7 linked regions of the Macaca mulatta genome follow. The protein of the gene in region 3 interacts with the protein of the main gene of each other region in a pairwise test. Links are inferred from orthologs where the notes say so. Each region holds a gene or a part of one and is shown on either strand. Other genes may lie near its edges. The genes, in order: SMAP2, KPNA2, MAGED1, RBFOX2, CA8, PITX1 and PRKAB2.

Region 1 (3,995 bases), on a different chromosome or scaffold from region 3:
GACAGGCAAAGTAATACCAGAGAAGTGGTATGGTGCATGTGTACTGCACATGTGCATGTATATGCTATCTTTATCAGGGTTATACTTATTTATAAAAAGTATTTTTATGTTTTTGTTTCTCTGTGGTCTGGAATAATTTACGTAGTACTGGTCTTTGAAGGTTTTGTGGAATTCCTGTGTGAAGTTTGTGGTCCCTATTGCTTTCCTTTGTAGCAAATCTTTGATACATTTCTCTGTTTCTTCTATGGAAGTCAATTTTGGAAAACTGTATTTACCTAGATTTTCCATTTCACCGAGGTTTTCAAATTTATCAAAAGTTACGCCAAGCAGTCTCATTAATTTTTTTCAGAGAACCAGGATTTTGATTTATTGGTGCTACATTTTTCTGTTTTCTACCTCAATTTTTGGTGTATCTTTCCATATGCTTTCTATGGGTTTACTTTGTTATTTTCTAGTTTTTGTAGTGGAGATTTTAATTCACATATTTTCATTGTTTCGTTTTTATTTACATAAGTAATGGAATGCTGTAAGTCTGATGGGAATATGTCAGAGAGACACATGAGCCAACTTCCAATGGCTCTGACTGGCCAAATGTGAGACACTTTGAACATCAAAAAGAGTAACAATAGTAATGGATTATGACACACTGAATGGAAAAAAAAAAAAAAAAAACAACCCATGAGTCCATGGTGATATTTTTTAAAAACCAGGTGTGGAATGGAAGGAGAAAAAGCTTTCTTTACAGAAGAATGATAGTAATTGTAAAAAGAACAAAGGATTCCCACATTTGCAAAGAAATGCCCTTCAGATTATTTATTAATTATAATGAAAGAAATATAGCCACTACCTTAGCCAAGTGATCAAACATCAAATTACTGGCAATGGAACAAAGTAATACCATGTGCTTCCTGATATTTTGTACTAAGAAAGACATCGTATCTCCTCCATAGAATCTTGCCAAAAATATTTAACCTGGATCCAATTATGAGAAGATGAATCCAAATTGTGGGATATGCTACAAAATAACTGTCCTGGGTTCTTAAAAATGTCAGTGTCAGGAAGAAATGGGAGGAAGTGGTAGGGAAACTGTTCTAGATTAAAGGAAACTACAGAGATCTGGAAATGAAATGCCATGTACATTAGAATATTGTGTTAATGTTAAAATTCTGGAGTGTGTTCATGGTTTTGTGGTTCTGTTAAAGTGTTCATTCTTATGAAGTGTCTCCTGACTTAGGAGTGAAGTGTCGCGATAGCTGCAGTTTTTTTTTTTTTTTTTTAATCTGCGGCTTTTGATGCTCATCAAAAAAATGTAAGTTTTTATATAAGGAGGGAGAGAAAATATGGCAAATGTTAACAGTTGGTGAATTTAAGGAAGAAGATATATGGGTTTTATTGTACTATTCTTTCAACTTTTATGTAAGTTTGAAATTTACTTTAAAAGTTGGTAAAGAAAAAGAATTTATATAGAAAATGTACTAGGCTCAGGAAATTCAAGGCATTTTTCTCCATAAAGTATTTTTCTGCTCACTGCTAGGGGGCCAGTCTTTCCATCAAATTCATGAAGGACCCCCGCCCTATCCTGCCCGAGGCCTTATTCCACTGACTTTTCTTCCAGCTCCTTCCCTTCTCATACACCGAAGACACATTAGTCTTTTTTACCCCCTGCCTTCGTTCATTGCGAACAGTCCTGTTCCTTTTTTCCCCCTTCTGCAAATGAAAGAGGCTGCTCAAGCGCTTTCCCTGACACTGACAGTAATAGCTGTACTGAAGATGAGGCGGGAGCACTGGGGAGGGGGCTTGCCTTTCAGCTTTTAGGATTGGCCAGGCAAGTTAACAATAGGCCCCTTTTATTTACGATGAGGAACTGGAAAGGAAAAAGAGAGGAACTCATGCTGATTTTCTGTCAACTAGATCCAGATGCCAGGATGCCTTCTTTCCCTCCCTGAGCTCTAGTCTCTGTCAACATTGCACTCCCAAACAGTCGTTCATGTACATGGCCTTCAAATGATCTGACTGCGAAGGTCCAGGGTTTACTGTCCATAACAGTTTCCCTTTGTCTCATTCTCCCCATCCTGGCAGAGAAAGGGACTCCCACTCTGCCTTTTGCACTAATTGGCAGAATGCCCACGGCCTGGTCTGAAAGTCTCCTCTCTCCCTTTCAGATGACCCAGCAGATGGCTGGGATGAACTTCTATGGAGCCAATGGCATGATGAACTATGGACAGTCAATGAGCGGCGGAAGTGGACAGGCAGCAAATCAGACTCTCAGTCCTCAGATGTGGAAATAAAAACAAAACACCTGTATGGCTGCCATTCTCTTCAGCCCTCGCTCTCCCCTTTCCACAGCCTCCACCCCTGACCCCCATCCTCTTTTCCTACCTCTCTGTTTGGTTTAGAAATTGCTCAATAAGTCATTTGGGGTTTGGCATCCTGCCCAGCCACTTCCCAAACATGAAGACCTCTCTGTTGCTTTATGTTGTACATGCCCCGTAGCCATCCCAACGTCCTCCCCAGTCCTCTCCTGGCACCAGCACCTTAGAGGTTGTTGGCAGAAGGCACTTAAACTGTGGGAGAAACGTGCACACCTTTGAGTACCTTCCCTCAAGGTTAAAGCTCCTGTCAGACTCTCAGAAGGGTCTGTAGGTGTTGTATATTAGGCAAACGGGAAAGCTTAGAGGTCCTTCTATATATGTTAATAAGCTGTTTCTAAGTGTTTAAATTTGAAGGGGAAGCATCATGTTCTCATGATTTATGGGAATGAAGCAAGTACTGAAATCAAACTAAATACTCCCTGGGCCCTGGGTCAGTTTGACCCTAGCCCCGGGGTGAGGCAAGCCCCCTCCTATGAGGATGAGCAAAAATTCTACTCTCTTCACCCTGAGTTGCTTTCCGGATCTGGGGCTTCAGGACTTGCTGCTTCAGTCAGCCTTTATTAGCACCAAAGACTTTATGAAGATCCCACACACAGACACACATCCCTTCCTGCCTCCCACCTGCCTTCAGTAGGATCTGGCTCCGTGGCTGGAGGACAAACCCCTAGAGTGGGAATGCAGAGCTTAACGTGTACTGCTTGTGTGTGCACGTGAGAGTGTGTGTGTGTGTGTGTGTGTATGTGTGTTCCGCCTCCCATCCTCTCCCCATCTGCTCTGGGTATTTTTGTTTTTGTTTAGTTTTAGGTTTACAACAGAGAGGAGTTAATTTATCAGCAGCCTAAAACTGTTGTGTTTTTCTTACAGTTTAAAAAATGCCATGTCATTGATAACTCCCTTTCTCCCCTCCCTTCTCCCAGTCTGCTGATGACTCTTTCATGCCTGTGTATCCGGGTGCTCTGTCTCCCCACTGTTCCCAGGTGTACGAGGCAGAGGCCGGGACAGCTTTCCTCTCAGTCATTGTTCACCCCACTTGAAAATTCAGACAAGAAAACTTTGCTTAAAAGATTTCATGTGTGGGAACTACAGTTCCTGGCTGCCTTTCTCCTGTGTATGTGTAAATTCCTTAATAAATATTGCAGGGAAGGACTGTTTGCTTGGCCATTACTGTGCGTCACTCTTGGAGGAGGGTGCGTTACACTCAGGTTTTCTGTTTTCCAAAGGCAATTCTTTCACTTACTGTATTTTGGAAAATTCTGTACTTCTCATACCCAAGGGCGAGGCCCAGGCTCCAGCAGTCAGAAAGGGGGCCTCTCTCCACTGGCGTCTAGAGCTGTGAACTGAGGGAACTCCGAAGATCGGCACCTGCTAGAGTCAGAACATCAGAGTGGCATGCCTTTCCCCCACAGATGGAGAAACTGAGACACGGAGAAAGGACATGGTTGGCTGATGTCCACTAGGGAACCCTGGGCAGAGCCGGCAGTAGCCTCGCAAGTGTTTGGATTTCCAGCCCCTTGTTCTTTCCCTATGCCATGGCAATTAAGTAGTGAGTTGAAATTCCTCTCTGCCGAGAGAGCAGTAGCTTTAGCTGGTAAAGGTAACTCACCCCTCTCTGAGCTATCGGAA
Region 2 (4,043 bases), on a different chromosome or scaffold from region 3:
CACAGAAAGGAGGAAATGATAACTTAGGAGGCTACCGTAAATATTTCAGAAGGAAAGTCCTGAACAAAGCTGGTGACAAATACAAAAAAAGAGAGAATACCAAAAAAGGCAGAAATAAACCAAAAACGGGCAGGGCCTGGTGGCTCACGCCTGTAATCCCAGCACTTTGGGAGGCCAAGGCAGGCATATCACGAGGTCAGGAGTTCAAGACTAGCATGGCCAACATGGTGAAATTCTGCCTCTACTAAAAATACAAAAACAGACCGGGCAGTGGCTCACACCTGTGATCCCAGCACTTTGGGAGGCCGAGGCGGGTGGATCACGAGGTCAGGAGATCAGAGACCTTCCTGGCTAACATGATGAAACCCCGTCTCTACTAAAAATAGAAAAAAATTAGCTGGGCAGGGTGGTAGGTGCCTGTAGTCCCAGCTACTTGGGAGGCTGAGGCAAGAGAATGGCGTGAACCTGGGAGGTAGAGCTTGCAGTGAGCTGAGATCACACCACTGTACTCCAGCCTGGGCGACAGAGGGAAACTCAAAAAAACAAAACAAAACAAAAATACAAAAACTAGTCAAGCATGGTGGTGCGTGCCCGTAATCCCAGCTACTCAGGAGGCTGTGGCAGGAGAATTGCTTGAACCCAGGAGGCAGAGGTTGCTGTGAGCCAAGATTGTGCCACTGCACTCCAGCCTGAGCAACAAAGCAAGACCCCGTCTAGGGAAAAAAAAAAAAAAAAGAATAAACCAGAAACTGGTTGGCTCTGGACACAGTGGTCAGGTCAAGGTACCCAGTTAGCAGCTAGAAATGCAGGGAAGTCTGAAGGAAGGTCAGAGCTAAAGGAAGATCCTAAATCAGCTTCAGTGGATTATGGAAGGCAGGAAAGAAGACAATTACTAATTGGGAACAGAGAAAAAGATCTTCACAGATAGTTACAACCTAAGGCTAAAAATGTTAAGTTTACTTGAATTTCTAAGAAAAGTTCCTACTGATTTTCTGGATTTCACGTAACTCATAAACCAAAATACATTTTTTACCTGGTTGTTGCGGTTTTCCTGCAGCGGAGAAGTAGCATCATCAGGAAATGAGCTTACGTTTCTCCTCTTCAGCATCTGGTCATCCTTCTTAGCTTTCCTCAGCTCCACATTGACCTCTATTCTGCGACGCCTCATTTCCTTGAGAAAAGATAACATGCCGTTTCACCTATCACATCAGTTTTTGTTGCTAAGTGAGGGTATTTTTAAAAAGATCCCTAAGTTTTCACCCCTTTCCAAATGTCCTCCCATTTAAACACCACCACAGGAAAGCAACAGAAGGTACTCACTGTACTGTCTTTTCCCTTGTTCTTGAATCTGTGAAGACGGGCAGCTGGTGTATTAGCATTCTCATTGGTGGACATGGTTATGAGACAAAGGGAGAAAGCTAAAAGATGGGCGAGGAGAAAAAATATTTCCTTTATCATTTTCCTTTGTCAATAATAGTACCAAATAAGAATTGAATTATCAAGCATCTACTGAATCCACACCTGTATACTAGAGGGGGGATCATCATGCTTTCAGCACTATGAAATAGCTTTACCCAAACGGGAACTGTCCCCCTTCCCTCTGAAGCGCTGAGACTTCCTGGAGAGGGCTGTCCATCAGAAATAGAATGCAAGCTATATAAATTGAAACTTCCTAGTAGCCATACTTTTTAAAAGGCGAAAAGAAACAAGTGAAACTAATTTCAATAATTTATTTTACTTAACCCAACATATCCAAATAGTATTTCAACATATATATTTCAATATATAAAATAACTGACATCTTTTACATTCTTTTTCCATACTCTATCTTTGAAGTCTTTTGTGTACTTTAAGCTTACAGCGTATTTCAATTTGGACTAGCCACGTGTGTCCACCGTTTCTGACAGCCTGGCTCGATACTCCAGAGTCCCTAATAGTTAATCCAAGGCAAAGCAGGGGAACCAAGTTAACTTACAGCTAAAAATTATGTGCCAGGGCAATAAATTCAGATTCTCAGGAGGCTCGCACTACTTTACTGTCTTTACTTGGCCAAAATAGGTGCAGATTCGAAAACTAAAAAAAATTTGCTTCATCATTACATTATGGTCAACATTAAAAATGCAGTGCCGCATGTCGCATATTTGATTTGCATTTCCAGAGACTAGGAGCGAATGCACTTAATTAGGACGACATCAGCTGTGCGTCATTCAGAAGACGACAAAAGTCAAAGCCCTCCTTACAATTTGCTATCTTTGCTTTCATTACGCTCGCCTACGACTTGGTGGCACAGCCACCCCGGGGCCAAAGTGTCAGAGACAGTGCTCCCAACTGCCACCCCCAGCCCCTGCCCCTGCCCCTACGTCGGGGAAGATGCAACAAGAAAGGGGGAAGCGAGGCCAGGGCCGCCACGAGCCCTCCCGGGACATTCGCCCTCAGGCCTGGCTCGCTCCGATTCTCCCGGCCGCGACGCGTTATGGTCTCCGCTGCCGTTTGAAGAGCGTCGGCGCCCTAAACCCGCAGACCCCGCGAAACTCAGCCGCCTGGTCAATGAACCAGTCGCCCCCGAGGCCTAGACAACGCGGGAGGCTGAGCCAGGCTCGGCGTGGACCCGGGGCCTCCTTCCCCCCACCCAAAGGCGAACGCCGCCCGCGGGCAAACCGTTAGCGCTCGGGCCGAGCCGCCGCCTGAGTCTGTACCTGAGAAGCGGGCCCGGGCTTCCACGGGAGGCGATGCGGGGAATCAGCGGCTGTGGGACGGCTGCGCTCAAAGGGTCCACCTCGACTCAGCTCAAAGACCGTGTGGCTCGTGCAGCCGGCCGGCGCGATTTAAATTTCCCGGTGACTCCGCATTCCGATTGGCTGGTTCGAGCCCAAGCTGTGTGCCCATTGGTGGATTTGAAAAACACGTTGAGAGGGGAGGGAGTCATAGGGCTTAGGGGCGAGTGGGAGGGGGGAAAAAAAAAAAAAAAGGAGGATGGCATCGCGAGATGAGGGAGCAGACGGGCGGTTCCCGAGCGCCTGGCAGGGCGGAGCGGGAGGACTCCAGATCCCGTCAAGCAACGCGAAGGGGCGGTCCCTGGGCCTTTCGTGTTTCCACTGGGTTGAAGCGCGCATGGTCCCTGGGCGTTTTCCTGGGCGAGAGCCTTAAACAAATACCGCAAAATGATTCTCAAAGTCATTATTTTAAAAAAACTTTGTTGTTGATCTTCATGAAAATTAAAAAATGATAATTAGTAAATAAGTAATCTTTATAGAAAGACATATTGCTTTGCATTTTTTTCCTGTTACGATATCCGAAGAACTTGGCAGGGGTTTCTGGCCACTATGGGAGGGAAGATTTATGTTATATTTTTTAGTTTAGTTTTTTTTTTCAATTGCGTCGTAAAAGACTGTATAGAAGCCGCAAATATAGTAACAAAATATTTCTTATTCCTGTTTCTCCAAACACTCAAGTTTTGTATTTTTAAATAATTTCAAATGCAGCAGAATTGCAAATCCTTATCCAGATTTGCCAAATGTTAACACATTTGCTACTGCTGTCTCTATACATATATATGTATACCTATGCACATGTGTACCTATGTGTGATTTCAATATGTTACTTTTTGAAACATTTGAGAGTTTCAGAATCATGTCCTTTTTCCTCTGTTTCACGGTGTATCTCCTAAGAAAAGACATTCTCTTACATAACCACACTGCAGTCGTCAAATTCAGAAAAACTGAAATTTCATGCTGTTGTTTAGTATGTAGTCTGTGTTCAAGTTTTGTCAATTGTTCCAGTAACATTCTATGCTCGTTACACATTTCTGAATTTTGCATTTTTTGCCATATGCTCAAACGAAGAAACAAAACAAAGATGGTCAACAGAGCATCAGGATTATGGGCCATTTTTGTTTCTGCAATTTTTTTGTGTTCTAAAAGATTACATTTTAGAAAAGTTGTCATGGTTTATTTCTTACTATAAATAAATTCAAACACCAAATTTGTCCATTCTTGCAGTCATTAATGCCAGCCTCATTCATTGTATAGCAGCCAGAGTTCATA
Region 3 (3,500 bases):
TCACCTGGAGTTCCACCTCCGCTGTGTTCTTAAGTGCAACTGTCTGAGCACCTATACCCTCTCTCACTATGCAATTCTCGCAATGTCACTCCAGGACACCTAGCAGCATATCTGTCACATGAGAATCACTTAAGTGATATTTATTGAATAAACTATACAAGTTCTTGGGTCTCGTGTTCATTGATACTGCCTTTGTATCCCAATCCAGTAGCTGGATCTTCCCATATTTCCACCTGCTGAAAGCTGATCTACCCCCTTCAAACTAGAGCCGAGGTCCTGTCTCTCCCACATAAACATGTTGCTCGCTCCCCAAATATAGGGAAAAAAAGAAGCAGAGAGCACATCTAATTCACTTTGCAATTTCAATGTTTATTTCTGATACCAAAACTTGACAGCACACAAGGGGAAAAAAAGCAGTAGACAAGGAACAGCAAATAAATTTATCTTGCATGCCACTTTCAGTCAACACGATGTGGCTCTCTAGATAGCTGTGTTTAGAAGGAATCTGAGGCTTCAGCCTCACACAGGGGAAAGACTATTGCGATTGATAGCAATATCTGTGAACATAAGAAAAAAAAGTAAAAAAATCAATGATATATGTCAAATAATAAGGAATATACACACCAAAGAGTGCTGCCCCATACTTTCCTCACCTCCCTACAATGAGTTTCCTAAGACTCCTAGCTCATGCACATAAATACAATCCCATGGACCCTATATCCCCCAGAGACCCTAACTGCCCAATCCAAAGTGATGTACCTACCCAACATCTCACTCAACCCAGAAGAAACCAATGGCACCAAAGTTGGCAGCAAAGTTGGCACCGGCTGTACCACCAGGACCAATAATGGGACCAGCAAAGGTCTGAGGAAATCTGGAGCGGGCGTTCTGATGGTATCTGGCCCAGAAGGTAAATGGAATTCTGGACCAGGGATCTCCAAAATCTCCTTCCTCATCCCAGGTCAGCAGCTCAAACTCAATATCATCCCAGCTCCAGGGCCCAGACACAGCCTCATCTCCAATTCCCATGCGGGTTCTTGCTTCAGCCCGGGCTTCGGCCTCAGCTGCAGCAGCATCCAGAGCATCCAAGGCCTCATCTGCAGCCTCCATGAACTGTGCAGTCCAGTCACGAGGGTCTCTTTTCTGAACCTGAGATGAGGAATAGAAAACAAAACAAAATCTATTTACAATAGCCAAGATACGGAATCAACCTACGTGTCCATCAATGGATGAATGGATAAGGAAAATGTGATACACACACACACAGTGGAATACTATTCAGCCTTTAAAAAGAAGGAAATTCTGCCATTTGCAACAACATGGATGATGCTGGATGACATTATGCTAAGTGAAGTAAGTCAGACACAGAAAGACAAATACTGCATGACTTCACTTATACATGGAATCTAAAAAGGTCTAACTCATAGAAACAGAGAGTAGAATGATAGTTTCCAGGGCCTGGGGTCAGGAGGGATGGGGAAATATTGGTTAAAAGGTACAAAATTTCAGTTAGATAGGAAGAGTATGTTCTGGAGATTGACCATATAGCATGATGACTATAGTTAATAATAATATGTTGTTTATTTAAAATTGCTAAAAGAGTACATTTTAAATGTTCTCATCACAAAAAAAAAATGTCAAGTATATGAAGCTACGGAGAGTTAACTAGCTTGATGTAATCATTCCGCAATGTACATGACATGTATTATCAAAACATCATACTGTGCCCCATAAATATATATACTTTTTATTAGTCAATTAAAAATAAATGAATGTGCTGGGTACAGTGGTTCACGCCTGTAATCCCAACACTTCGGGAGGCTGAGGCAGGCAGATCACTTGAGGTCAGGAGATCGAGACCAGCCTGGCTAACATGGCGAAACCCTGTCTCTAATAGAAAAATAAAAATTTAGCCAGGCATGGTGGTGGCACGTGCCTGTAATCCCAGATACTTGGGAGGCTGAGGCACAAGAATCGCTTGAACCCGGGAGGCAGAGGTTTCAGTGAGCCAAAATCGCGCCACTGCACTCTAGCCTGGGCAACACAGCAAAACTCCATCTCAGGAGAAAATAAATAAATAAAACAAAACAAAATACTTAAAAATTACATTGTACACCATAAATATATACAATTTTTGTCAATTATACTTTAGTAAAGTTGGGAAAAAATAAAAATACTTTAAAAACCTAAAAAAAAAAAAACCAAAACAAACTCATAATTGTATTAGCTAATATATTAACATATGTTAGCACCTAATGCATGTTAAGTTTACCTAACAACAACAACAAATACCACCAGCAATGCAGCACCTACCACGTGCCATACCTAGGATCTCATTCCTACCCTGGACCTTTCCCAGCCAGCGATACTTCATCCCTTGACCTATCAATGCTGGTTGGCACATTACCTCTGCAATGAATCTCAGCACTTTCATCTTGCTAGTCTCATGGTAGGAACGGAGGCCCCAGAGGAACTCATACTCTGGGGGGTTGCTGTTGGGCACTCGTCTGTAGTCCAGGTATCTGAAAGAGCAAAACAGTCTTTGTGTCTACCTACCCGGGCAGAATGGTAGTCCAGTAATGAAAAATAATCCTACATTTTTTAACATCAGATTTCAAATAGCAACTCCCCCTCGGGCTCATTCCTGAACACCATCAGGGTATTTACCCCTTAATCATCAAGCCTTGAATTCCTGCACCAGAACACTAAGCACTCACTTAGAGCTGCAGGCGACGCTTGTATAGGGTCACAGAAAGGACAACATTTCATTTCACTCCTTCTGCCTCAGCTCTAGCTCCAGATTTTTGTAATCTTGTCAGTGAGCCACAGAGGTCCATTGAAATGATTACAATGTAGTGCAAAAGTGTCAGCCTGGCCCAGCCTTGGGAATGTCTACTGTGGGGATGGTGGATGGGCTTCACTTGCAAGACAACTACTTAGAAAAGTAGAAAAATTAGAAGAATTCTGGCTGGACATGGTGGCTCACACCTGTAATCCCAGCACTTTGGGAGGCAGAGATGGGTGAATTGCTTGAGGTCAGGAGTTTGAGACCAGCCTGGCCAACATGGTGAAGTCCCATCTCTACTAAAAATACAAAAATAGCCGGGCATGGTGGCAGGCACCTGAAGTCCCAGTTACTCAGGAGGCTGAGGCACAAGAATTGCTTGAACCTAGGAGGTGGAAGTTCAAGCGAGCCAAGATTGCGCCACTGCACTCCAGCATGGGCAATAGAGTGAGACTCAGTCTCGAAAAAAGCAAACAAAAGAATTCGCCGGGTACGGTGGCCCACGCCTTAATCCCAGCACTTTTGGAGGCCGAGGCAGGAGCATCACCTGAGGTCGGGAGTTCGAGACCGGTCTAACATGCAGAAACTCCATCTCTACTAAGAAGACAAAATTAGCTGGGCGTGGTGGTGCATGCCTGTAATCCCAGCTACTCAGGAGGCTGAAGCAGGAGAATCGCTTGAACCCAGGAGGCAGAGGCTGCAGTGAGCCAAGATC
Region 4 (4,036 bases), on a different chromosome or scaffold from region 3:
CACCCATTTGTTTCCCCACATAGATTGCATGCACCTTAAGCACAGTGAACTGGACTTATATCTTTTAGAAGGTAACTTAGAAACCGGCCGGGCGTGGTGGCTCACACCTGTAATCCCAGCACTTTGGGAGGCCGAGGCGGGCAGATCACGAGGGAAATCATCTTGTACACATACTTTATTTTATAGCTAAGGAAAACAGAGGCCCCAAAATGAAAGATTTCTGCAGGCACTCAGCTAGTTGAAGGCAGGACCTAAATCAGTGATGATCTGAATACCTGTATGACATAGGGGAATGGACCTACAACAACGAGAATGCACAGAAGGCTGGGTGTGGTGGCTCACGCCTGTAATCCCAACATTTTGGGAGGCTGAGGTGGGTGGACCACCTGAGGTCAGGAGTTCGAGAACAGCCTGGCCAACCTGGTGAAAACCCCCCTCTACTAAAAATACGAAAAATTAGCTGGGCATGGTGGCACATGCCTGTAATCCCATCTACTCAGAAAGCAGAGGCAGGAGAATCGCCTGAACCCAGAGGTGGAGGTGGAGGTTGCAGTGAGCCGAGATCGTGCCATTGCACTCCAACCTGGGCAAAAAAAAAAAAAAAAAAAAAAATGTATAGAAAGAAAATAAACAAAGAACACCCACAAATACACAGAGTGAAAAAAGGATTCTCAGAGGGATAGTTCTCAGCTACCCCCAAGGACCTAACCACTCTTTCCTCTGCACAGCCCTGTGAAGTCCCTACATATTGCTCCATTTCCGAATATCACTATCTTTAGCCAATTTGAAGGCAACCAGCAGATAACAGGCCCCAGGAGTAAATGAGGGAAAGGGATGGGGGTCTCACTATTAACTATGATTGACAGAAATGATAAATGAATACATACAGACATACACACACACACACACACACACACACACAAAGTAGAACCTGCTCACCAGCACCTATATCCAGTCTTCCCTCCTTACCATCCAATATTAGCTCACCTCACCTGCAGTCTCCCATATTCCTGTCTTTTTTTCCATGGCCCTGAGCTTTTACTTCTCACAATCCCTCTACCTGACAGAGTTCTAATGGAAAATAAAAGCAGGCAAACAAAACAAAAGAATTCAAAAATAAACACCAAGAGGGTCACTTTACCTAAATCAACACAAGTAACAGGGTAAACTCTGCAAAGGAGACCAAGAAGCACACAACAAATACGCTAGGCTTAAGTACAGCTCCGTCCCTAACACAGGAAGTCAGGCAGAGGCTTGAAAAGCAGGGAGCAGAGCACAGGAAGTCTTTTAGCACTGCAGAGATTTCCAAGAGTGGTGTAATGGAGACAGCACAGGAATAGGAATTAGAAGACCAGGCTTCTGGTTCTAGTTTTACTATCAGCTAACTGGGTGGCCTTACCCAAGTCACTCATCTTCTCTGGACTTCTGATTCCCCATCTATAAAATAAGGTGGTTAAAACAAGCTGGGACTCAAATCCCCTCCAAAAAAAACAAAGATGAAAATTATTGACTCTCTGCCACCAAAAAGTGCACATCACCTTTTATAAGTAAGAATCTTCCTAGTCTGTCCAGGTTAAGAACCCCTGGAAAAGATGTCTAGTCTTCCTCATCCCTCTAACATCCTATGACTCTGAGAGAACTAGGCACATGTCTGCACAATTGCTGATAGGTGAGACTCACCATTTCATAGCAGTATTTTCTGGGCAGAGACCAAACCCTAAAACCTACAAAGGTTTCAAGGTCTTCCTCAAAACTATGAAGTCAACTGACATCATCAATACCTTTCCCATTCCCTACCCAAATTAACCACTTTTATCTTTGAATCCAGAATTGAGAATCCAGTCTTATAATAGCCCTATAAAATTTTTTTTTTAATAGCCCAGGACATTAAAGAGCTATTTTGTGTCCTGGAGATGTAGAATGCAATTGGCAAAGAACAGGAGGGACATGTCTGGTGTCTCCCTTCAGACTCATTAGTATGCTCCACAAAGTTAATGAGACTGAGCACCACCGTGTCCCCACAACATTACCAAACTCCCTGTACTTCTCACACACTCTGTGTGTTTTAACCCACAATCTCAGCCACATCCCCTCGGGGCTCTCTCTCGGAGTTTTCTTGCTTTTCACTCCTCTCCTTGAAACGCCACTTCTCTTCCCCATCCCAGCGGGTGCCCAGGGCTGCCAAAAGGTACTCCCTCTTCTTGGGAGGTTTCCCACGAGATCCCCTCTTCCTCGACTCCGTCCAGAGAACCCAGGATTTCCCGGCTTCCACTCCACCCCAGGGCACTAAGGAAGGATTTGAAGAAATGGAATCCATCTCAACCACGTTCGATTTCCCCCCAAAACCTATCCACTCGTCGTGCCTCCTCGCCCCTCAGGAATCAGGACCCTCTCAGGCACACCAGGATCAGTCCTGCAACCTTCGTTCCTAGCCCGAGCTCGTCCCACCTTCCAACCAGGCCCCGACTGGTCCCCCCATCCCACCTCCAACCCAGGACCCCCGGAGGCCCTCCCTCTTTCCAAGCCGGGGAGCCCGGGGTCGCCCCTCACGCCACTCCCCCTCTCCCCCGCAATAACTGGGCGCCCCGTCCCGCGCGGTCACCTGCATCCCGCCGCCACCGTCGGCCGCCGCCTCCTCAGTGCGCGGCCGCTTGCTCAGGCCGGGATCGGCTCCGTCTCCTCCCGCTCCGGGCACCGGCAGCTCCAGCTCCGACTCCCGCTTCATGCCCCGGGCAGCGGCGCCGGGCCCGAGCTGAGGCGGCTGCTGCGGCTGGGCGCCCTCCGCCATCCGCCCGCGCCCCCCTCGCCTCCGGGAGCCGGGCGACCCGCGACAGGCCACCTCCCCCTGGGCCTCGGCCCCGACTGTCGCGACAGGCGGGCGCGCGCCTGCCCCCGCCCCCCGCGTGCGTGCGTGCGTGCGTGCGCGCGAGCGCGCGGACTCCGCGCCCCTCCGCGGCTCGCGCCCGGAGCTCCTCGCCTGGCCGCTCGCTCGCTCGCTCGCCCGCCCGCCCGCCGGGTTGTCGGCGCGGGGCCACTGGCGGGTCGCGACGGGCACTCGCTCGCACCCCCGCACGCACACGCGACACCCGGCCCGGCCCGCCGCGCTGCCCCGCCTCTCGCACTCCCGGAGCTCGCCCGCCGGCCGCGCTGGCTCACACTCTCCCTCACAACACGCCGGCCGAGGGAGGAAGGGGGCGGTCCGGGCTCCCAAGGCGTAGGGAGGGCTGTTTATTTGGGGGGAGGAGGGGCGCGAGGCAGGAACGAGCTGACTGGCCGGGATCCTCCGACCCGCCACTGTGGCAGCACCGGGAAGGCGGGGAGAGAGAAAGAGGGAGGGAGGGACCGGGATGTAGGACTCCAGCCCGCGCGGGAGGCTATGGCTAGGGGGGCGGTGGCGGCCTGCGGAGGGGCGGGGCCAGCCCTTCTCGGCAATCTCCGTCGCCTCCTCGCTAGCTGCCCGAGGGAGGCTGGGAAGCGATCGGGGAAGCTCGGGAATCTCCGGCACGGGCCTGGGACTGTCCTGGAGGCTCCGCGCGGCAGGAGTGCCGGCCAGCGCAGAGGGGGCGGGGTCAGTCTCCTTTTGGGGCGGGGCCGTAGCTTGGAGCAGGCGGGGCTTGAGAGACCCGAGGGCCAGGGAGTGGCTCCTGCCTGTGGTACTAGTTGTACAGTGTTGTGTCCTGAGTTTACCCGCCTGAGCACCTTGGTTCCCGGGGAGGGAATGGGCACTCTGTGAGAGGCAGGCTATTTGCCTGCTTCCCCTCCCGCAGAAGGAAAAAGATCTCGAATTGGAAGGTCGAGGAATGAAGCCACCCGTCTGTAGTTCACCCCAGCTCTGAGAGCTTTTACTCTGACATAACTCACATTCCTAATGAAGTTAGTACTAATATCCGATGTTTGTAAGAGTTTTAGGGTTTGCACAATGCATCCACAGACCCATTTCAAACTGGTAATATAGGTAGATACCATGATCTCCATTTCATTGATGATGAAACTGAACCTTAGTTAAATCCTGCAGCAAAAAAGTGGCAGATCCAGA
Region 5 (3,500 bases), on a different chromosome or scaffold from region 3:
GTAACAGAACAGTTTTAGAAATACCATGTGCCTTTGTGTGTGTGTGTGTGTGTATGTGTGTGTGTGTGTGTTCTGAGTGTATGTGATAAAGGGGTTTTGGGGAAGGAGTTTTAAAAATTGTCTTTCCCATGTCACATGTGCTTCATTTCATGACGCTCCTCTTTCTTCTTCCTTAGCCATGTGGAGCTGAGCCTTTTCTAGGACAGTTTTATCGCTTTGTTTTAGAAGTGGTGTTATAGAGCTCACCCGCTGAGGCCTTGGGCCCCACTGTTGCTGGGGGTGGCGAGGGGTGTATTTTCTCGTTCTCTTTTTCCTTTTTGGTGTGGGAGGTGGGGTACACAGTGGGTAGACTCCTAGTCTCAGTCCTGGTTTTTCTTAAGACCAAATTTGGACAGCCAAGAGAAAAGCATGAGTTGTGAGGTTATTTAGAAAACATTTCATACATTCTTAAATCCACAGAATGGATGTTTATTGGAGAGGAAGGTGAAGTGAGCTTGCACTGTGGTTCTGAGTATCTACAAACCTTTCTGATCCATGTATTACAAGTTTTTAGATTATTCTGGGAAATAGGATAAAGTGCAGTTCTCCAAGGAGCAACTTCAGTTTATAAATCTAGGCTTAGATAAGTCATTATTTTTTAGTTCATGCTCACAGATACTGACATTTGGGTTTCCCTATCCCTGCCTCACCCCTGGAATGTAGGTCAGAAGATTCGAGCTCCAGGTCCTGTCCTGGGGCCTGCTAGGAGGCTGACTGTGGCAGGTCACACTTAGCCCCTCTCATCCCACTTTTCTGCCCTGTCTGTGGGGTTGATGATAACACTATCCCCTTGGATTTGTTGTGTGACGTGTCAGACCAAGCATGAGGACAAACACTAAAATCTAAAATCATGCATGACACTGTGATCCTAAAGGCCATGAATCTCACTTCCCTTCCCCTTGATGTGAAGTGTATCCACTCAAAAAATTAAAGTTAGTTCTTGCTCTGGATGTTGCTTGTCTTTGTTGTTTGAGCTGTTAGAAAGCTTGGGAGCAGATTTGTGGGGTACCTTTATCAAGGACTCCATGACCTCCATTGTGTCTGATAGCCTCATTTCTCCATCTATTTTCAGCCTCTTTCTTTGCTTCCCCTTGTTCTTTTTCCAAATTTATGCTGTCTGACTGTATTGTATGTACCTTGACATAAGCAGCCTTAAATCCTTTTTGGAACAAGTCTTTAGATGAAGAACCAACCAAACAAGTAAATATTGTTGCACCAATTTGCTTTCTTCTTTGAGTTTTAGGATAAGGATGAATGACAGAACTCTTCCTCAAAAGAGGTGTGGAATCTGTTATGTCCTCCTCAAAGGCAACCCAAATGTGAAGGATGATCTGTTTCAAAAAGTCTACTTCTAGGAAAGGGAAGGTGTTGAATTTTGTTAGCTAAATAACCTAAAATTCTTAGCTGATACTATTCAGAATTGGGAATTGCTAGAGGAAAAATGCCCTGAGTTAAACAACTTTTATTTGTATTGAAATTGACCATTTGTTTGTAGGAAACTTTATTTCAAGTTTGTATGTATGCTGTCAGGGAATTTTTAACTAAAGAATTTTATTGTTTTGAGACAGGTTCTCATGCAAATGTATTTTTCATTATCCTTTAGTGTGCCCTTGTTGGGGACAAAGGTCTTGATCATATCCAACAATGAGAAAAAGACATGATCTTGTGGGACTGATGTTAATATTTTGAGTATTGTTAATATTTTATTGCAGTTTTATTTTGTGTCATTTGTGGTAATGAATGTCCATCAGCTATTGAAGTGCAATTTCATTATTGATTGACTTAATGCTAATCAATCCTCTTCATGGATAGTTTTGTTAGTCCACACCACAATTCTCTAAATTGGAAGCCTCCTAGTACAAGTGGATGATCTGCAAATGTAGTTTAATTTATTTAGACATCTACAGAATATTATTGGTCAGTCTGAGAGTTAAACCATATTTTTTGTCTCTTGATCAGTGCTAAGCTTAAATCTCTAAGAGAGGAATTTGTTTTCCTTGTCTACTTCTAGACTGAAAACACATAGGAAATTAAAATATACATATCATTATGAGTTTTTCAGAGGTTTTGAACTTCTACTATGTCTGAATGGCCAGGACAAGAATTTCAGCCAAGCCTAGATAGTTTAAATTCACCTCACAGTTGTGGTAAATTTCTCATTTTGACTTTGTGAATTTAATCTGTAGAACCCATGAGAGCATTTTGGTGAAAAAAAAAAGTCTCTAATGTTTATAATGCTGAGGTAAATGTGTGATGTAATTCAGTAACATATATTTTCTTTTTCAGTTCTTTCGGGAGGACCATTGCCTCAAGGGCATGAATTTGAACTGTATGAAGTGAGATTTCACTGGGGAAGAGAAAACCAGCGTGGTTCTGAGCACACGGTTAATTTCAAAGCTTTTCCCATGGAGGTAAGAGTAACAAATCATCTTGTAAAAATCTTGTTTTCTGAATACAGTATTCAGCGATTTACTGAAAATGATTTAGTTTAAAAGTAGATGCATAGCTCTTGCATTTTATCAGTTTATACTAAAATTTTAAAAATGCTTAATGCAATAGAAGCCTAGGGCAGCACATGAAGCTTCCTTCCCATCTACTCTTGTGGCTTGGCATGTGCCATGAGCATATGGCCAGAAAGGCAATCTACAGTATTAAATTTGACCCTAGTGTTACTATTCTTGTAAAAATTCTGCCTCTGCAAATTCAGTAGGTCACTTTTATGGATGCTATGAATGGGTGACGAGCTGAAGACAAACAACCATTGGAGAAACTGCAACAGTAATGAAAAGTCTAGGTTAGCTAGTTTAAAATTGGTGGGTTGCTTTTATTCACCCCAAGCCACTGGGGGAGGGAGGGAGAAAGAGAGATTTTTCGAGAGTGATTCTTTTGTCCAAAGCATTCTTCCCCGACTTACATTCTTAGTTAACTCCTGCTCTTTCTTTGATAGCCAGTTGAAATCTTATGTCTTCTGTGGGACTTTTCTCTAGTTTCTTCTCTAGGCAGAATTCCTCTGTCTCTCTGTGCTCCCTATATGCTTGATAGGGCACTGCCACGGCGCTGGCCCCATGGGTTGTACCATTTAGTCTTCATAGCGTCTTTCTCGCTGCCTGTGAGCTCCTGAGGAACGGAGCTCCCTCTCACCCCACTTTTACTCCCATCATTTGCCCACTGCCAGGCACAGTGGAGACAGACAGTCCACACTGGTGAAAGTGAGGGCATGTTGGATTCAGTCAGGTCTTGATGATATTTCTAGAAGGAACCTCAGTTTACCCCAGAAAATAGCCCTTTAGTGTCATGTAAGAGTATGTTTTGGGGGCCACTGGTCTTCCAGTCTTTTCTCTGACATTCCCAACTGTGTATGTGCTTAATATTAAATATAAAATTGCTCATGACCGGATACGATATCCAGTACCACTTCAGAGGCTGGAAATCATGGCTGTATAATTTTACGTCAGTGATAC
Region 6 (4,208 bases), on a different chromosome or scaffold from region 3:
TAACAGTGAGGATACAGCCCCTCAGACTAAGCAGTGAGTGCTGCTCACAAAACAGTTCCCACTGGGGGATGGCCCAAAGAGTCACTTTGGTCCCTCTGGGAAGTGAGGGGGCTATGAGTCCCAACCTCCTCTGGATGCCCACAGACAGATCATTCATTTCTAAGTCTCTGCCCAGAGACGCACGGTGCTTCCCACCTTGGCCTGACATGTGGCGGGGTTAGAACACACCTCCTATCCCATGCCAGCCGGCGTTCATGCCAAGTAGCACACATATGCCTAAACTCAGCGCTTCCATAGTGCAGTGAGTACATGTGTGTGCACAGCATCTCCGCATGGATGTATAGGATGTGCGTGTGCGCGCGTGCCCCCATGCTGTCTGCACTCAGGCTGTTCTATGGGATAAGACAGCTAAAAGGAGAATGGTGTGTGAAGGGACACTCCCCAGCATGCTGCAGCACCTGAATATCTCCTTGAAAGGAGGGATCTTCTACTGGAGACTCCAAGAAACGTGGTAAAGGTGGGGCTGAGGGCAAATGCTGGGCAACTGTGCTTCCCCATGTTCCTCTGCCCATGACCAAGACTCATTTCATGGAGGGAGATCTCAGCTTGGAAGAAGGCAGAAGTCACTGAGCCTCCCCAACCCAAACTCCTGGGAAGTGTCATCCCTCTGGCCTCAGACCCTGCATTCTATGGTCACAGACGCACAGTGAGAAAGGGCCAGGCCCTAAGGAGCTGTGCTGTCTCTCCATGGCCCAGAGTGGGGGATGGGGGCAGGGGTGCTTTGGACTAACATGGAGGGAATGGAAGGCAGGTCTGGTTCCAGCCTGTGTGCCTGCCCCTGGCCCCAGCCGCCCTCACAAGGAGCTCAGCTGACCGTGGGTGTCTCCCTGTGATGCGAAGGGGTAAGGCGAGGACTCAAAGGCAGAACCTGCAGAGTGCCCCAGACGCCGACACCTGCGCAGTCAGTGCCACCCACCCAGGAGTTGAGGAGGCACTGGGTTTTGGGGTGAGGACACTGGACACCTCCCTGCTTCTTTCCCAGACCGACAATCTCCCTGGCGCTGCTCCCTTGGGTTGCTGTGTCTGGTGGAGCTGGTCACAGGTGAGGGGCAGAGGGCAGTCTGGGGTCCGCCTATGGCCAGAGAAGCAGGTCAGGGCGGCGCCTTGCCGCCCCAGCTGTGGCCTGTTTGCTCAAGACGCTGAGGTCTTGGGGCCAGGTAACAATTGTTGAGCAAAATCCTTCGACAAACTTCACCTACGTGCAAGGACTTGAGGAGGGAATCACTCTTGGGAGTGGGAGAGTAATGTCTTTGCCTGTGCCCAGTGAAGGCCCATTGGAGCTGCAACTCAGCTACCACTGTGTGGGAGAGAAGCTGGAAGACTGAGGGCTTCCTGGGCTGCTGGCCCAGGGTTGGGAGACAGCAGTCACCTGGCCTACCAGGCCTGTGCCTGAAGCCCTGGGAAGCCAGGATGCAGGCCCCAGGCTGGGACAAAGCTACCCTGAAGGAGGGCAAAGGCTGCCAAGGCCAACCCCATGCCTGCCAAGGCCAGGCCTGGCCCATTTGGCCAAAGTGTAAGGTGTAAAACAAGGGGAGAGGTAGAAGAGGCTGTGGGGCCTGGCTGGGATTCTGGGGTCTTCCCTCTGCATTCTCCAAACGCCTAGAGCCAGCAGAAACGTTTCGTCTGATTAGAAGCCATCATTTCTATCCCAATCCCGGAAAATTGACTGCGGTGCAGAGAGGGAGGCCTGAGAAGCAGCCTTAGGGGAGAAGGTCCAAGCTAATTAGGAGGCAGCATCCGGGGGCCCATTAGAGCGCAGGCTGCTGTCACTCAGCCGGGCTGAGTTCCCGGGAGAAGAGGCTGGAGAAGGAGGGGCAGGCGGCCCCTCGACGAGGACACCGCTGGGAGCTGCCGGAACGGGCCCCGGGCTCTGCCCCCGCCCCGGCGCTGGCTCGAAGGCGCCCGCTCCGTGCGATCCTGCTCGGCAAACATTCACTCATCCTGGGCTGTTCTCGCCAGCGCTGGGGACTTCGAGGCGGCCGAGACGGGAGTTGATTCTAGGCGAAACAAGTCATTTGGGGCCTGAGGTGGGCACGAGCCGCCCGGGACTTGCAGCCCAGATGCGTTTCTTTTGTGAGGCCGAGGGAGAACTCGGTGTGTCACCGGGGAAGGAGGGAGAGGCGCGGCGAGGCCGCGGGGGGCGGGGAGGCGGCGGGAAGGTGGCTGCGGAGGGGGAGGGCGCGGGCGAGGCAGGGAGGGAGGGAGGGCGGCAGAGAGGGCGCGGCGGCGCGGGCGGCTTGGGGCTGGATTCCGCCCGCGCTCCCTCGCTCGCTCGCTCCCTCCCCAGCCCCCTCCCACCCAGGCCCACCCCACCCAGCACCCCTGGCGCAGGGACTGCTGGAACCTGGCTGTGCGCGCTGTCGCTTTAAGACAGACTCTGCCGGCGCCGTCCGGAGCCTTAGAAACCGGCCCCGGATCGCGAGTCGGAGCCGGAGCCGGGGCCGGCCCGGCTGCTGAGGCCCGAGCGGCAGAAGCGCAGCACAGAGCGCTAAGCCAGGCGCCCGGTCGCGAGAAGCTGCCGCCGCCTCTGCCCGCCCGGCCCCGCAGCCCCGGGCGGTCCATGGGGCGGGTACGGCGTCGCTGCGGGCGCCGGCAGCCCTGGAGGGCAGCTGCTTAGGCGCTGCGCTCTTGTCCCCGCAGGTCGCAGCCAGGGCGGCGGGGCGCGCCCAGCCCCGGCCCCTGGAGCGCCCGCCGCGGTCCCCACCTCCATGGACGCCTTCAAGGGGGGCATGAGCCTGGAGCGGCTACCGGAGGGGCTCCGGCCGCCGCCGCCGCCACCCCATGACATGGGGCCCGCCTTCCACCTGGCCCGGCCCGCCGACCACCGCGAGCAGCTCGAGAACTCCGCCAGCGAGTCGTCTGACACCGAGCTGCCAGGTAAGCGCCGTTCCCCTCGCGGCGCGCACGGAGCCTACTTGGGCGCGGGGCACGGGGAGCTGGGAGCAGGGCCTGACGCCCGCGCCGTGCAACCAAGCTCCCTCTCCGCCCCAGAAGCGTCAGGAGCTTTCTTTTTCCCGTTCTCGACCTGATGGTGAACGCGGAAACTTAACGCATACGCGAAGGCACTTCCACGCGGTCCCCACGCGCCAACAGACTGGCAGATGCATGAGCCTACAGCTAGAGGGTTGGACTGACAGCCCCTCTTGATCAGGAGTAAATAGAACGGGGGAAAATTGGATTTGCGCAACTGGGCACTAAGAAGCGACTCGGACGAAGGGAGAGGAGCAGACCGAGAAAGGAATGGGGGTGACGGGCGAGAGAACGCCCTCAGAGAGACAGAGAGAGAGGCTAACACCGTGACAGTAGGCGACAGAATGAAAGAGAGAGGCCAAAGAGAAGGGGCGGGCGGGAAGGGTAAACGGGGAGAGGGGGTCATCAAGTAGAAGGAAGACACAGAAGACGGTGAGGGCGAGCGGGCCAAGAGGCGCGGCCGGACTCCCAGCAAGGCCAGCCCGAACCCCGATCGAGGGATCCGGCCCACGTGTGCAGCCGAAGCCCGGAGCTGCCCGGCCCTGGCCCCCGCCCCGGCTCCGGCGCGTCTCCCTCCGCGCTGCCTTTTTGTACGAGCTGGAGCTTTTTTCCAGCAGCGAACTGGGCCCGGGGGTGGCCGGCGCGGGCAGTAGGGTAGCGAATCCGCTGCCCAGCACAGCCGCCTGGGTCCCCGAGGGGCTCAGAGCTCCCCGGCATGGGCGCCTCTTCTGCTCGTTTCTTCTGTTCATTTCTTAATACACAGCTGAGTGTTTCTTTACACTTTCTTAATCTGTTTGTTTCTCTTTTGCATCCCTAAGTGATTTTTCTGAGAGGTTCTGTTTGCTTGGTTAAAACACAATCAACGCTGAACTATACTTTTGTTTTCAAAAGTTTTAAGTGCGGTCTTTGGTTGGTTTTATTTTTAAAACCTAGAGAGATATATAATCATAGATTGATTTTTTGAACCAAATCTATGAGGATGAATTAACAATTTTAACTTTATCTTTCGATTTTGAAATAATTAATATACTAAGTGTAGGTCTCTGGAATTTAAAATATCTACATGCAACATTATTCTTCCGGAGATTTTAAAAAGTCAATCCAAAATGGCGCGTTTCTCCGGAATTTTCTCAAAATCCATTTACAGTGGTGTTATTTGGGGAATTTAAATTATCTAA
Region 7 (4,208 bases), on a different chromosome or scaffold from region 3:
CCCAGTTCCCTGGGAAGTGACGAAATGATAGGAAACATCAAACACACCCCAATCTCCTCAAGCCCTCCATTTTTCTATCTCATCCAGTCAGTCTACCTGGAGAAACTACATGTATTTCATGCTGACAGCTCTAAAAGCGATTAGAAACATTAGAATGGTAATCGCTGCTATCAGCTCCATCTGTCCTTTCTTACAGAGTGAAAAAACAAGTTGGCTCTTCCTGAAAGTCCTTGGAATTGAGAGCAAGGTCTTCAAGGCAGCTATGGATTGTCGCTTTTTAGCCACGCAACATTTTGAAGTACTACTGGAGAGTAAACAAGTCGTGGAATCATTGGCTCTTCCACCTGCGGAGCAGCAGCGGGGCGTGAAAGAGGCACAGCCTCAGCCACCACAACTATAAAGTATGGGACAAAAATTAAGCAGTCAACCAAATGATGTCCTTAATTGATCCCCAAGACTAGGGGAAAGTATTCAATAAGCAAGTAGTTGCTGCTTACAGCCGTGCCAAAAGGGAAGAAGATCACAAGTGCAGAGCTGCTAGAAGGGCAAAAATGATACTGATACATAGAAATTTTCAGAAAAAGAATTTCATGTAGCCACCTCAGGGCAAAGGTGAGAAACTACCACCTATGGTCAGCAACTCGTGCAACCTACCCTCTGAAGTTGTCCACCAGGGCTAACAAACTACAAATTCAGCAACGCTATAGAGGAGAGCCACTCGTGCATGTTAGGAAGAACCAAGGATCGGGGATGTCTATTGTCCCCATCCTAAAAATGTGGCCAACAGATTAGTCAGAACACCAGGAAAACAAGAACTCCGCCTCTTTATCCTATTTTGAGGCGGCACTGCAAGAGGGATTACCATCCAACACCTCTGTCCCCGAAAAATCCTTTTAATTCAAAAAACCATAGCCCGGTTCGGCGCGGCAGAAAAGAACCAAGAAAGGGAAGAGGAGCCCGGAAATCAACCCGCTGCAGTACTGCCACCAACTGCGGGCGTGGGACGCTTACCTTGGAGTCGGGGAGGCTGAACACGCTGGGGTCGTCCGTACTGCCCACCATGATCTTGTGCTCCTTCCCCGGGGCATGACCGCCTGCGCCCTCGGAGCGTGCAGCCTTGGCACCGTGGCGCTCCCCGGACACCCGGTCGCTGGTGGTGTTTCCCATGGCTGCAGCTCGTCGGGGACCACCTACCGCGGAGAACCACACCGGGCTGGGAACACCTCAGTAGCCGCGTCAGGGGCGCCCCCCGGCCCCGCCCATACGCCTTGGGACGGGGCAAGGGATTTCCCCGCCCCAGGGAGGCCAAGCCCCGGAGCCTTCTCCCTCCTGGCCTGCGGGAATGCCTGCAAATACCCCGGTGCCCTCGCTGCCCCTAGTCAGGAAACCCGCTATCGGGACTCCCCCGCGTCCCCGCGCTCACTGCCAGGGGCGCCCCCACGCCAGTCACCTCGGGCGATGCGCTCCCTCCTCCAGGGACCACTGAAGTGATGACTGTTCTGCAGATCAGGCCACCAATAAAGTTATTGAAATTGAAGCCGCACCCCTCGCTGGCGATCAGCGATTCCTCCTAAAATGGCTACAAGGCCGGCGGCGCGGAGTCGGCCCCGTGCGCGTTCCCTGCGGCCTGCAGCCTCGGCGTCCCGGGCCCGCCGGCCTCTCTAGCCGCCGCCGCCTCGATGGTGGGCAGTCGCACGCAGCCTCCAGCGCCAGGAGGGGGCGCCAGGCAGGGCTTGTGCCGCCTGGGGAGACTGCACCCGGGATAATTGGAGCGCTGGGCCTCTGAGACTACCCGGCGGAAGGGACGTTCCCACAGGACACTCGGAGGCCGCCTCCCTGGGCTCCGGCGCTCGGTGCCGGGAGAAGCGACGCGGCTTTCTACCCCGCCTCAGGTGCGCCAGCACGTTTTCTGGGCAGCATCTGTGTGTTAGGCGACGGGAGAGGGGGGTTCCTTACAGGGAATAAGAAAACTGAAACTGACTTCCAACTGCAGGCAGAAGGAAGCAATGGCCATTGCTGGAGGTTAAAACTGTTCTGGCCGGGCGCGGTGGCTCACGCCTGTAATCCCGGCACTTTGGGAGGCCTAGGCGAGCGGATCACGAGATCAGGAGATCAAGACCATCCTGGCCAACAAGTTGAAACCTGGTCTCTACTAAAAGTACAAAAATTAGCTGGGCGTGGTGGCGCGCGCCGGAAGTCTCAGCTACTGGGGAGGATGAGGCAGGAGAATAGCTTGAACCCGGGAGGTGGAGGTTGCAGTGAGCCGAGATCGCGCCACTGCACTCCAGCCTGGCGACCGAGCGACACTCCGTCCCTCCGCCTCCCCGCCCCCCCCCCACAAGAAAAACCTGCTCAATAGGGAGCGACAAGGAAGGAGCTGTCAGCCCGACTGGGGTCGCAGGGAAAATTCAAGATGGCGTATTTAGGAGCTAGACCTTGACAAATTAGTAAAATGTTAGTCTTAGGAGAATAACGAAAAGGCTTTCCTAGTCTAAGAAACAGCATATGCAGTGAGAAACCTCAGAAGAAATAAAATTCAAGGAAGATGGCGACAACGAAAACATCAGAAGGAACCCTAAAGGTATAAAAAAGGCAAAGACAGTCGTAGGGTTGGGAGGGATCCAGGTTTTTTATGAAAATTAGTGGAATCCCTAAGGTACTTACCTTTGTATTAGAAGTATTTGCATGTCGCCTTCTCTACTAGAAACGTTTATCTGTGTTACACAGACCAGCAGCGTTGGCATCACCTGGGAGCCTGTTAGAAATGTAGAATCAGGCCCCATCCCCAGGGTTCAGAATCTGCATTTTAACAAGATCACATTAACGTGTGTGAGAAGCAATGCTTTGACAGCTGGCAGAGAGCAGATCCAGATTTGATACCTTTTCATATTCTGCATGTACCTTGTACAGAGCAGGCTTTTGTATTTGCGGAATGAAGGATACAGGAATACTGTTTACTGTAATCCATTTCTATCAAGATATGCCACTTAGGCTTAAACACGGCCAATGATGGAGAACCCCAAGTTACATAGGCCACCCTTTCTGAGTGAGCAGCTCTATTTGTTGAAAAGTTCATTTTTATATTATGAAGTTGACAGCCCACTTAAGTACAACAAATTCACTACTCCCCCATTCTTTGCTCTGCCCCTTATAAACTCATTCTTTGGCTCATAAACCGAAGACAGTTTACAGGAAGGAAAAAAAAAAGGTACGATTTTACTGCAACTTCTTGCTCACCCCTCTGAAATCTTTACTGTCTGAGTACATTCTTTTTGGTTATCCCTACCTTTCTCCCTCCACCCCTCAATTCCTTACCATAGGACACTGAAGCAAGGCCCTTCAAGGTGTGATACATTAAACCTTGACTTGTGTAGTATTCAGTTTTCTGACCCCAAGGTGGTTTCACCATGCCAAATAATATGTCCTTGGTATGTATTTCCTTGCAGTAGTGAAATCAGCTTAGCAGAAACAAACTAACTATGTTAGCCAATGGAAAACTGAAGGAGAGAAATAAACTGTTTTTACACAGCTAAATGGAAATGACTTTTGTATTATCTCCTTTGGAAGATTATCCATGACACTGTTCTGCCCTGCTCTGCTCTAACAACATTTGTAAGTTACTCAACAGTTAATAATAAAAGTCAATTTTGAATATTGCATGTTTTAGACACAGAACAAATGTAATATGACACTGTAGGAAGAATGAATTCTCCTTAGTCCCAAATTCCTTTTTTTTTCTTAGATTCAGGAATAAGTAGGTAAAGATACAAGATCTTCTTAACCAGTATCAGTATAATTGTTCCCTTTAGATTTATTGCTGTCACCCCAATGCTCTTCTTTCTTTTTTTTTTTTTTTTTTTGAGACGGAGTCTCCCTCTGTCGCCCAGCCCAGGCTGGAGTGCAGTGGCGCGATCTCGGCTCACTGTAAGCTCCGCCTCCCGGGTTCACGCCATTCTCCTGCCTCAGCCTCCCGAGTAGCTGGGACTACAGGCGCCCACAACCGCGCCCGGCTAATTTTTTGTATTTTTAGTAGAGACGGGGTTTCACCGTGGTCTCGATCTCCTGACCTTGTGATCCGCCCGCCTCGGCCTCCCAAAGTGCTGGGATTACAGGCGTGAGCCACCGCGCCCGGCCCCAATGCTCTTCTTTCTAAAGGGAAGGAAAAGAAGGGGCTAATAGGAAAAGTAATTGGTGGGGGTTGTCCTGAT

The links.
Region 1: the proteins of MAGED1 (region 3) and SMAP2 interact in binary tests that used the Homo sapiens proteins (3 or more experiments, as listed by UniProt). The two-hybrid records come from large-scale screens. The link is inferred for Macaca mulatta from reciprocal best matches to the Homo sapiens genes MAGED1 and SMAP2.
Region 2: the proteins of MAGED1 (region 3) and KPNA2 interact in binary tests that used the Homo sapiens proteins (3 or more experiments, as listed by UniProt). The two-hybrid records come from large-scale screens. The link is inferred for Macaca mulatta from reciprocal best matches to the Homo sapiens genes MAGED1 and KPNA2.
Region 4: the proteins of MAGED1 (region 3) and RBFOX2 interact in binary tests that used the Homo sapiens proteins (3 or more experiments, as listed by UniProt). The two-hybrid records come from large-scale screens. The link is inferred for Macaca mulatta from reciprocal best matches to the Homo sapiens genes MAGED1 and RBFOX2.
Region 5: the proteins of MAGED1 (region 3) and CA8 interact in binary tests that used the Homo sapiens proteins (3 or more experiments, as listed by UniProt). The two-hybrid records come from large-scale screens. The link is inferred for Macaca mulatta from reciprocal best matches to the Homo sapiens genes MAGED1 and CA8.
Region 6: the proteins of MAGED1 (region 3) and PITX1 interact in binary tests that used the Homo sapiens proteins (3 or more experiments, as listed by UniProt). The link is inferred for Macaca mulatta from reciprocal best matches to the Homo sapiens genes MAGED1 and PITX1.
Region 7: the proteins of MAGED1 (region 3) and PRKAB2 interact in binary tests that used the Homo sapiens proteins (3 or more experiments, as listed by UniProt). The link is inferred for Macaca mulatta from reciprocal best matches to the Homo sapiens genes MAGED1 and PRKAB2.

Annotation. Positions count from the first base shown.
Region 1 is NC_133406.1:200,357,657-200,361,651, reverse strand, and holds the end of SMAP2 (stromal membrane-associated protein 2), read left to right. Parts: intron 1-2,162; coding exon 2,163-2,288; 3' UTR 2,289-3,495; downstream 3,496-3,995.
Region 2 is NC_133421.1:77,786,391-77,790,433, reverse strand, and holds the start of KPNA2 (importin subunit alpha-1), read right to left. Parts: upstream 2,801-4,043; 5' UTR 2,697-2,800; intron 1,419-2,696; 5' UTR 1,396-1,418; coding exon 1,321-1,395; intron 1,172-1,320; coding exon 1,034-1,171; intron 1-1,033.
Region 3 is NC_133426.1:51,816,909-51,820,408, reverse strand, and holds the end of MAGED1 (melanoma-associated antigen D1), read right to left. Parts: intron 2,523-3,500; coding exon 2,408-2,522; intron 1,150-2,407; coding exon 772-1,149; 3' UTR 764-771; intron 558-763; 3' UTR 349-557; downstream 1-348. UniProt on the Homo sapiens protein: Involved in the apoptotic response after nerve growth factor (NGF) binding in neuronal cells. Inhibits cell cycle progression, and facilitates NGFR-mediated apoptosis. May act as a regulator of the function of DLX family members.
Region 4 is NC_133415.1:15,502,487-15,506,522, reverse strand, and holds the start of RBFOX2 (RNA binding protein fox-1 homolog 2), read right to left. Parts: upstream 2,801-4,036; 5' UTR 2,789-2,800; coding exon 2,603-2,788; intron 1-2,602. UniProt on the Homo sapiens protein: RNA-binding protein that regulates alternative splicing events by binding to 5'-UGCAUGU-3' elements. Prevents binding of U2AF2 to the 3'-splice site.
Region 5 is NC_133413.1:70,909,312-70,912,811, reverse strand, and holds part of CA8 (carbonic anhydrase-related protein), read left to right. Parts: intron 1-2,325; coding exon 2,326-2,450; intron 2,451-3,500. UniProt on the Homo sapiens protein: Does not have a carbonic anhydrase catalytic activity.
Region 6 is NC_133411.1:143,947,457-143,951,664, reverse strand, and holds the start of PITX1 (pituitary homeobox 1), read left to right. Parts: upstream 1-1,408; 5' UTR 1,409-2,120; coding exon 2,121-2,154; intron 2,155-2,700; coding exon 2,701-2,937; intron 2,938-4,208. UniProt on the Homo sapiens protein: Sequence-specific transcription factor that binds gene promoters and activates their transcription. May play a role in the development of anterior structures, and in particular, the brain and facies and in specifying the identity or structure of hindlimb.
Region 7 is NC_133406.1:118,946,392-118,950,599, reverse strand, and holds the start of PRKAB2 (5'-AMP-activated protein kinase subunit beta-2), read right to left. Parts: upstream 2,801-4,208; 5' UTR 2,665-2,800; intron 1,497-2,664; exon of another isoform or gene 1,451-1,496; intron 1,191-1,450; 5' UTR 1,168-1,190; coding exon 1,012-1,167; intron 1-1,011. UniProt on the Homo sapiens protein: Non-catalytic subunit of AMP-activated protein kinase (AMPK), an energy sensor protein kinase that plays a key role in regulating cellular energy metabolism.